Linked DNA regions of Daphnia pulex. The protein of the gene in region 2 binds, or shares a complex with, the protein of the main gene of each other region. Links are inferred from orthologs where the notes say so. Each region holds a gene or a part of one and is shown on either strand. Other genes may lie near its edges.

What was found. Proteins that work in one complex are often made in the same cells at the same time.
Region 1: DNA replication complex GINS protein PSF3-like (region 2) and DNA replication licensing factor MCM4-like share a complex: the UniProt entries of both Homo sapiens proteins name them as parts of the CMG helicase complex. The link is inferred for Daphnia pulex from reciprocal best matches to the Homo sapiens genes GINS3 and MCM4.

What each region holds. Positions count from the first base shown.
Region 1 is NC_060020.1:7,894,426-7,900,048, reverse strand, and holds the start of DNA replication licensing factor MCM4-like, read left to right. Parts: upstream 1-2,232; 5' UTR 2,233-2,379; coding exon 2,380-2,446; intron 2,447-2,515; coding exon 2,516-2,608; intron 2,609-2,673; coding exon 2,674-2,837; intron 2,838-2,891; coding exon 2,892-3,089; intron 3,090-3,150; coding exon 3,151-3,385; intron 3,386-3,445; coding exon 3,446-3,688; intron 3,689-3,771; coding exon 3,772-4,003; intron 4,004-4,069; coding exon 4,070-4,529; intron 4,530-4,588; coding exon 4,589-4,749; intron 4,750-4,813; coding exon 4,814-4,931; intron 4,932-4,993; coding exon 4,994-5,235; intron 5,236-5,298; coding exon 5,299-5,509; intron 5,510-5,510; exon of another isoform or gene 5,511-5,568; coding exon 5,569-5,623. Other genes in the region: uncharacterized protein LOC124192073, read right to left, coding at 1-143, 218-1,390. UniProt on the Homo sapiens protein: Acts as a component of the MCM2-7 complex (MCM complex) which is the replicative helicase essential for 'once per cell cycle' DNA replication initiation and elongation in eukaryotic cells.
Region 2 is NC_060022.1:871,834-876,448, forward strand, and holds DNA replication complex GINS protein PSF3-like, read left to right. Parts: upstream 1-1,986; 5' UTR 1,987-2,009; coding exon 2,010-2,118; intron 2,119-2,223; coding exon 2,224-2,362; intron 2,363-2,429; coding exon 2,430-2,559; intron 2,560-2,622; coding exon 2,623-2,763; intron 2,764-2,831; coding exon 2,832-2,921; 3' UTR 2,922-3,189; downstream 3,190-4,615. Other genes in the region: serine/threonine-protein phosphatase 4 regulatory subunit 1-like, read left to right, coding at 1-43; hepatocyte nuclear factor 4-gamma-like, read right to left, coding at 3,269-3,606, 3,691-3,927, 4,002-4,121, 4,186-4,315, 4,381-4,551. UniProt on the Homo sapiens protein: Required for correct functioning of the GINS complex, a complex that plays an essential role in the initiation of DNA replication, and progression of DNA replication forks.

The sequences.
Region 1 (5,623 bases), on a different chromosome or scaffold from region 2:
GGCGGTGGAACGAAAGTCGTCGGTTTCTTCTTCTTCCGCATCATTGCCGGATTAAATCGGCAGTTAAACACGCCCGGTACGTACGGCGGATTCTCGGTGCAAAATACCGTGTGACCATTTTGCTTCACGAACGTACCCGAGTTCTGGATGAAAAACCAAAAATATAATAATTACAGATTCGATTGGTAACAGAAAAAGAAACGGGTGAGCAACTAACCGGATTACTGCTGCCGTTCTTCGATGGGCCATTCGGATTTGAAGTACCGTCATCAACGTAAGTACCGGAAGGCGTAACGTAAGAATAGGGCTCGGGCGGATTGTTGTTGGTCGGGTACGACGATGCGGATGAGTAACTTAACCGCTTCACGTGGAAATATCGATAATAAATGCCTAAGAAAAGGACGCCAACGACGAATGAGAGGAACATGGTGACGGTGGCCAGCTCGTGATACCAGGGCTCCTCACGATGAACGCCAATGAGCCACACAGCCACCAGAAGGGTGTTCTCCAAAAACATGGTGACGTAAAAGGCGGCCATTTTCATACGAGGATTGACGTGCTGCAAATTAACGTAGCAAAAGATGTAGACGACTGCAATCAAGGCGCAATACGCGTCTTTCTTGATCTTGGACATCTTGTCGCCGTGGAAGACGTTGCGTGGCGATATCAGCCAGAAGAACATGCTCAGCCAATGTAAACCTATGACCAGGAAAACCCAGTAACCGTAGACAGTGGCGTAGACCGTCAAGGCAATCGCTCGAGATGTTACGGTTCCTAACCGCCATAGGAACTGGAAGATGACGCCAAGCCAGGTCAGCACGAGTTTGTGGACGTTCTGTCGTCGAACGTTCTTGTTGAAGGACGCCAATGCCCAGCACACACTGACCAACGACAGCACTGTGGACACTATGTTCAAGTCTTCGACGTCGTCTCGCTGTGGCTTGAGCCATATTAAATACAACTGCACCAACAACATTGGTGCGGCCTCGATGAAAGCGTGAACCAGCCGGAGCATGCATAGGTCTCGCACTTCATGTTTCACAATTCGCAAGTCCACCGGGATGAATAGTTTAGAGTAGCGCCACAAGACACCTATTCCAGCTAAATGCATAGCTATTAGCGATCCTCTGTTGACATCTTTCTCGTCATTATCGTCGTCGTTTGCTGGTTGGCAGGAGGAATGTCGTTCCAGAAACCATTTGGCCGAAAGCAATTGACTGACGATCAACGACGAGGTGATGAAGAACACAGCTAGGGATAGCCAAACATATTGCTGCTGTTGGTATAAAGTGTAAGCAGTGATGACATCGAAAACGACGTCGCAAAAATACGACGCCATCGAAATGATGTTGAACAACACATCACACAAAGGTAGAAATTCTTGAGTCATGATGGCCAAATGAGTTCTCCAATGAAGGGTATTCTGAAAAAAATAAAATAAATATTATTGGTAACTAACTATGATTCTTAAACTATGAATGAACTTCACATATCATATTTAATCACCTCTACATGAAATCTTTACTGCAAACTTCAAAAGTCTTAATAAAAATAAACCAAAATTGCTTAAACCATAAACTAAGAAAACTGTTAACAAGTACTGGACAAGCCAAACAATGGAATAGCACTGCACTACAGCTGTCAGTTGGATGCTTTTACATTGTGTTAATACTCAAAATACAACATTTTTCAGCTGTGACTACTTGTATCAATTTCCTTTGAATCACTTGTTTCAAATTGTATTAGAGATAACTTTGGCTATTTGATCCTTACTTTTCACAGCTCAGGGTAAGAATTTTGATGCACGCACAGGTCACAAACCACGTAGATGACATGAGCAATCGTAGGATCTCTAGGATTCCAGATAATTAGAACTGAATCAAACACAATGAAATTTCACACCATAAATACCTTTTGAGCAATCAATTTAGCTTCAAAGCACTTTATAATTCATTTATATACAAATCACGCTGGGCGTTTTGACGTCTGAGACCTTGGACTCCATGTTGTTTAGGCCCACCTGGCGGCAAATATGTCAATCGTATTATTTTAATCATTTATTGATTTAAAAAGTTGTTAAAATTTATAAATTCTGTTTTTTAAAATGAAAAATTATAATTAAGTGTTTTATATCCGTTCCTATCAAGTGTTGTAGTAAAATTAAAGTAACCGATGTTACCTGGCAACAATTTAGGTACGACTCCTCCTCCTCCAAACATTTTGCCGCGAAGCCTTTCTCTGTTTTCTGTAAGTCTCAAGCGGTCAAGCCCAACTGCCCAAGACCCGTTATCGTTCCGATAGTTCAGATTCGTGTATCAAATATCATTGTCGTGTTATTGTCTTTCTTCAATTTGAATAAGATTTTACCCTTGATGAAAAATGGCAAGTCCAGCAAAAAGTCATGCTAGTAGCCGTACTTCAAGATCTCGACGTCGTTCTGCAGGAGGTAATAAAATTACCTAAATAATTTATGATTATTGAAACCTCGATTTCAAACATTTCACATTGAATCTAGCGATGTCGGATATTTCTGATGTTGCTCCTTTGCCTTCCACTCCATCTCATCATGGTGATAATGATATGGATATTGGAATGAGTCCTGGAGGAGGTATGTGAATATACTTGTATTTTAAAATAGCAACAGGGTCATCTTCAGTTCTGTATTATTTCCAGCTATTAGTGAATTGGATTTAAACTCTCCTCTCAATTATGGAACTCCAAGTTCAATTTCATCTTTGAGAACTCCTCGCTCTGGGGCAAGAGGGACCCCTCTACATCAACGTCCTGATGTTCGTTCTGATAGGAAAGTCCGCCAAGTCAATTTGGGAGCTAATGAAGTATTACTTTTTTAACTAGTTCTTATTGTTTCAATGTGCTAATCCAAATTTTAGCAGGGAAATTTGACCCCAATCAAGGAGCAAGCAGAATCAGGAGGGCCACAGTTGGTCATTTGGGGAACTGATGTGGTTGTGTCTCAATGTAAAACTAAATTCTGTCGCTTCATCAACCAATTTTTGCAAAGTGATGAAGAGGATTTAGGGGAAAACATGAATGTCAATGAACCTTACTACCTTCAAGAACTGCAACAGGTAAGAACTGATTCCTAATCCCACAAAATATTTCTTTATTATTATAAAATCTTTCTTTTAGATTGCTGATTTGGAAGATCCATTCTTGAATCTGAATTGTTCACACTTGAAGGCCTTTGACGCTGACCTTTATCGTCAATTGATCTGCTATCCACAAGAGGTTATCCCGACGTTAGATATGACTGTAAATGAAATGTTTTTTGAGAAATACCCAGATGTCATCCTGCCTCATCAAATTCAAGTCAGGCCCTTTTGTGCCGACAAAACCAAGAACATGCGTGCTCTAAATCCTGAAGGTATTTCTGTTCTACCGGTTCAAGAAAGAAAAAAAACCTATAATATTTTTACCCTTTTAGATATTGATCAGTTAATCACTATTAGTGGTATGGTTATTCGCACGAGCAATATCATTCCTGAAATGCGTGAAGCATTCTTTCGCTGCAATGTATGTAGCAACACGGCTTCTGTTGAAGTTGATCGTGGACGAATTTTGGAACCAACTCTTTGTGCCATGTGCAACACAGGGCATTCCTTTTCCATCATTCACAATAGATCACAATTTTCCGATCGTCAGATGGTTAAACTTCAAGAGTCACCAGGTAGAGATAGATTTGCTGATCACTATTTTGCAATATTTTCAATTTTTTAAAAATATTTAACGGAAATTTTATTGATTAAATAGATGACATGCCAGCAGGTCAGACACCTCACACCGTGTTTGTCTTTGCTCACAATGACTTAGTGGACAAGGTTCAGCCGGGCGATCGCGTTACCGTGACCGGAATTTATCGTGCTGTTTCGTTGCGCGTAAACCCAATTCAAAGCAATGTCAAATCTGTTTATCGTACTCATATTGACGTTGTACATTATCGCAAAATCGATGTCCATCGCCTTCGAAATCAAACCGAACGAGGGTATTTATTTATATATTTTGTGTAACATGTATCTTTTATCGATAATTATTGTTTAATTCATTTTAGGAAAGAAACGCGTTTTTCTGCTGAACGCGAAGCATTACTTCACGAACTTTCCAAGAAACCAGATATTTATGAACGTTTGGCTCGAGCCATCGCTCCATCCATTTACGAGAATGAAGATATCAAAAAAGGAATTCTCCTTCAACTCTTCGGTGGCACCAAAAAAGATTTCACGGAAGTTGGTCGTGGAGGTTTTCGCTCGGAAATAAACATCCTTCTTTGTGGTGATCCTGGTACTAGCAAGTCTCAGTTGCTGCAGTACATCTTTAATTTGGTCCCACGATCACAATATACCTCTGGCAAAGGAAGTTCGGCTGTTGGTCTCACTGCGTATGTGACAAAAGACCCTGAAACCAAGCAGCTTGTCCTTCAAACTGGTGCTCTCGTTCTGGCAGATAATGGTATCTGTTGCATTGACGAATTCGATAAAATGTCCGACGCCACTCGCAGCATTCTTCATGAAGTATAAAGTTCATTCTAGTTATTAGTGGATTCAGCGTTAATTTATATATATTTGTATAGGTAATGGAACAACAAACGTTGAGCATTGCTAAAGCTGGTATCATCTGTCAGCTAAATGCTCGTACATCGATCTTGGCCGGAGCAAATCCAATCGAATCTCAGTGGAACAAAGACAAAACCATCATCGAGAACATTGAACTGCCTCATACATTATTGTCAAGGTAGTACCATTCATCTGGATATACCATTTCATTGTCATCATAAAATTTTATTGGTTAAAACAAGGTTCGACTTGATTTTTTTGATGTTGGATCCTCAAGACGAACTTTATGACAAACGCCTTGCTCGTCATTTAGTTTCTTTGTATTACAGTGTAGCTGAAGAAAATGAAACGGATTTCATGGTATGTTGCCATTTCTTCGATATTTACGATCAAATCTATTATTAAATTTACGCAACCTTTAGGAACTCGATGTCTTACGCGATTATATGGCTTATGGTAAAGAGCATGTTAATCCGATGTTGAATGACGCAGCCACCGTTCGTCTGGTAGAGGCCTATGTTGAAATGCGACGAATTGGAAGCGGTCGTGGTCAGGTGTCTGCATACCCTCGACAACTGGAGTCACTTATTCGTCTTTCGGAAGCTCACGCTAAAGTTCGTTATTCAGAAGTCGTCGAAGTTTATGATGTCGAAGAGGCTTATCGGTAACAATTTATATATGGTATTTCATATGGAAGAATACTTAACTTAGTTTTCCCCCTATAAAGCTTACATCGTGAGGCGCTGAAGCAATCTGCCACCGACCCCATGTCAGGCAAAATTGATGTCAACATTCTTACAACTGGGTTAAGCTCAATGGCTCGGAAGAAACGCGGAGAAGTGGCTGCTGCACTCCGTAAGATGATAGAATCAAAAGGCAAAACCAGTTCATTAAACTATCAAAAAGCCTTTAATGAATTCAAAGCAGGATCTGCTGTGGTAAGTTAAGCTTGCGTGTATTTCAAGGATAATTATAATTGCTTGTGGCTCTTTTACAGATGATCACCAGAGACATGTTCGAAGATGCGTTGAAAGATTTGCAGGATGATGGAG
Region 2 (4,615 bases):
CAATTCATTGGATCTTCCGACGGAGGACAACAACATTGCGTGATAGCCCCAATTCAAAGAATACAAACACAAAAAAACTGTACACATTCACACACATTTGATTCTTTTTGCATGATGCCAACACAACGAAAAACAAAACTTGTCGACTCCTCCCTTCCATCCTTTTTTCCTCCTCACCTCTTCTCTTATCATCTTTGATCTCTTTCGTTTTTTAAATAATCAGCCCCCCCACTAACACAAGGGAGTTCCCCCCTATAAAAAGTCTTGGCGCGGATGAGTGTTGCTGTGTGGTGCCTTGTACAAACAAGACGATTACCTGTGTGTTGTGTAAGTAAATCACGCAATTGGTGCGGGAGACGAACGCCCCGATTTAAAAACAAATGAAATTCAAACAAAAATCAATTCATTCATGTTTCCCTCCTTTTTTTAAAAAATAAAAAAGTTTTTCCTTTTTTCTTTTGCAAGTAAAAAATCGTGTAGAGAGATGGGGGGAGGAGGGATTGTTGTACAAGTTGTTGTCCGCTATGCCCTTACTGTGATGTGGTGGTGACCGCCACCTAACCTGATTGGTAGACGGAAAAAAAAATACATCAAAATAATTTTTGCCTACGTGCAACCGCGTTCTTGTCGTTCTTCTTCTTCTTCTGGCCCCAATATCATTTGGCTCCCGAAATAATGGAAAAAATGTGCTCGCTTGGTTTAATGAAGCCATCGATAAAACAAAAGTGCAAACATCTTAATGAGGTACACACGCGAGTCGAAAAAGATTAAAAAACAAGGAGTGGCCCCCGTCTTGTGTGGGTGGGGGAGCTCGTTGTTTACTCGTGTAACAAGAGAAACGGTTCTATATTTATCAAATAAAAAAAGCTGCAACCATTTTCTTTTTTACCATTGCTCTCTCCCCTCGCCCCTTTTTTTTTAAAGAAACAGAGCCAACAGCTTTGAAAATAGATTTTCCTTAGCTGATCGTCAAGACGCGCACTGATGACGACAGACTTTAAGGGAAAAAAAAAGTTATTTTTTTTTTTTAAGGAAAAGTAAAAAAACATGAGACAAATTTTGTGGTTTTTTCTCCATTTATTTATTTTTTAAACGGAAAGACGATTCCATAGCTTCTTCCGGTTGTACTTGAATTGAAAAAGAACTTTTCCATGGGGTTTCTCACGGTTTTACGCCCATTAAGCAAGTCAGAAAAAAAGAAAAACCTCCGACACCATCACGGAATGAATAGCTAATAGAATTCATTCAATCACACCAAATTGTGTGAAAAATGAACTCGCGAGTTTATGTAAATTAAATATCAAAGTGAATAGAGATAATAGCGGGAATAGTTCCGGAGAAGAAGAAACGAATCGAGAGTGGGTGTCTGCGTACCAATCACGTCAAGGGAGCGACGATTGGCCGAAATATCTTTTCGAGACGATATTTCTATTCGAGCAGAGTTGACTCTGCTGCTGCTGCTGCTGGCGCGGTGGAGGAAACCCAAGGGAAGGGCTCCAGGTTTATTTCTGTCTTCCGACGACGCAATCACTTGGCTCGGCTAACAGACAGCACAAGCACAAGCTGCTTCTGTTTGTTGGACAAGTCGAAGCTCGAAAATATGGCGGCTCCTAGTTTTCGACAAGAGATTACCTGTCTCGGAATCCTTGGCGCAATAACTCGCAAATACATCATTTCTCTCAAGTAATTACGAGCCAGGTGAACGGCTGAACGCGTGACTCAGCTCGCCGTCACACGTAGACCCTTTTTTACGATGAGGTTTTTCGGGGGAAATAACTTTAACCAAAACCGTCAAGCAATTTGTGGCATAGAGTCGACCATTTTGGGCGTCTTCCCAAAAGAAAAAAGAAAATGTTGACTGTGGATGATGTGGCAACGCGGTGCAGAGCGGGAAAACGACTGCTGACATCTCGTTGTGACGATCAAACAACATTGAATTCTAATCTTGTCTTTACAATTTTCTTTTCATTCTAATTTTGACTTGTAATCAACTCTTGACGACTTTTATAATGCCTCACTTGCATTTTAGCTATAGTCCAAACTATTTTTCTATAGAAGACATTGTGCTTCAAGATGTCAGGGTGTCTTGCAAATTCGAAGTGGCTGTTCCCAAGTTAGGTAAACAATAGCTTGTTTATTAGATTTTAAGTTTATTGGTTTTTAAATAGTTAATCATGTAATTAAGCTGATTACAAAGTTATATCTCCTTTTCTTCCAATTCAGGTATGCTTGATCAGTCGGCTGACGATGAAAACCTCAAACAAGGAAGCAAAGTAGAATTGCCGTTCTGGATGGTACCCACCCTTCATGCCAAAAAAATTGTAACACTTGAAATTCCAAGGCACTACAAAGTCAATTACAGGTAGTTAAATATCTTGACAAAGTTTCGTTTTCTGGATTAAATCCAATTTCACTTCCAAATTCTATAGACAGATCCTCCAGGCAGACAGTATAGTTGTTGACCTCCACAAATGGGGACCCTATTTCTATGATCTGGGACTTCATGTGGCAAATCTTGAATTAAAGGATTCTCTTGATATCAAGAGGAGCCTGGTTGAGGTTGATTACCCAAATTCTGTTTGCATATAACTTTCTCTAACTACTACAAATTTTTGTGTGCAGACCCTTCGTAACCGTTTGAGACAAATTATGGACATGTCTCAACATTCCACACACCACGAAACAGTACACATAATTGCAAACTTGGATGAATTAGAAAGAAAGTTGTTTGGAGTGGGTCAGTTGAGTTACAGAAGCTACAAGGTATTCATTAATATAGATTTTGATGCATCATTTCTCTATTGTTTTTGTAATCACTTTTGCTTCAATAGGAATGGGTCCGAAGAGAATCCAGCAAGATCAACACAGCTACTCTAGTAGCCAGTCACAGAAAGAGAAAATTTGCAGAAGTGACTGTTTAAGATTCAATTACCAGTTTGTCAGATGTATTTGGCCCCTATCTAATTAACAATTATATTGAGCAACTATGAAGTTCGACACAGTCAATCAGAAGCAATTAACTCGTTTGTTTTTAATAGAAATGACGCACATTTGAATGGAAAAAAAACCCCTGATGGTAGCAACACGATGGATATGTTGAGTCCCTGTTATAGTAATTGTGCTACTCATCTTTGGAAAATATTTGCCGCGCAATTCTCAAATCGAATAGATTATCTCTTAAAACTTTAACTTAACAAAACAAAACCCTTTTTTTCTCTTTTTTTATCATTTTTCTTTCTTTTTGTAAAATTCGGGAACGGTCAAGTATCTATGTGTACGCATTGTCCATTCCTTCCGTCACCTCTTGTTTGAAAGGCTGGTGGTGGTGATTGGACAATCCTCCCAAGGGAAAGGCGTCATCCTCAGAGTCTGGAGACATGGTCAGCGGTGGTCCACGGTCCATCATCATGGACTGATGCCCACCTAATCCGTTTTGCCCATTCAGGAGAGGAAGAGTTGTAAGAGATGGACCCGTTGAGTGTGTGGGAGACGAATCTGCTGAAAGTGGAGCCATTGCGGTCAGTGCAGATGGGACCACAACGGGCGGATTGTACCCGGACGAAGGGGCAGAATTGTTTGCATTACCAACCGATTCAAGTGAAGCTCCTTCAAATGTTGGTAAGATTGTGTGTTTAATCGATCGTTAACCAATTCAAATAACTGTTTTTTTTTTTCAAATTCTATTAATACCTCCTAGAAGCATTTCCTGTAGCAGAGAATCGATGCGGGTCACTCCAAAGTATCTGGCTTGCTGGATCTGCTCAATCATTTGCCAAGCAACTGACTGGAGTGGCGGCAAGGCCAGCAGCAACTCGCCGAACCGACCTCGACTTGCGTACTGTCGATCGGCCACGTAGTCTTCCAGCAACTGTTGAATCTGGTAGCGAATCCCTTTTACCCTGGCCGGCTCTCCCAGACCTTTTGCATCTGGTGCCATCCCAAAGGCTCACGTCAGACTCAAGATTCAAATAGTAAGTTGGCAATCGACGTTTTTTTATTACTAGGATCGAAGAAGACGATGGCCTTGAGGCAGGTGTACTCCGTATCATCCATTTGAATATCTCGTAGAGGTTTCACAATCTCGTCCATTATTCGAATGCCAATATGGTAAATCTCGATCTCTGCATGTTTGCCAAATAGGAATCATTAACAACATCTTTTGGCAATAAGGCAGCTAGTGTTAACCTCCAAGTCCAGCCGATTGTCTGGGCATGATGGAATCGTTGCCCAGTAGAAGAATGTCTCTTAAATGCATAGATCTTCGAGCAACTCCCAAAACGAGGTTTTCTGCCGCGTGGGCCCTCAATAACGCCACCTTGAAATTCGAATTCGACATCATCAAATTGGCTAAAAACGAAATTTTTTTTAAAATGTGTCTACCTGATCATCCAGTGGCAATTCGCTGAAAACGGGGATGTATTTGGCCCATTCGACCAAGAAGAGCAACTGCTGTTTCATTGATTCGCAAACGTCGTTGATGGTAGCCATCCGTTTGCTGTTCAAATCGTAATCGTTGACGGCTGAGAGCTGATTTAAATACAAATTTTCACACTAGAAAGGAAAGAGTTGATCGGGAGAGGGACAAGGAAAAAAATCGCAGCACATTCGCACAGAT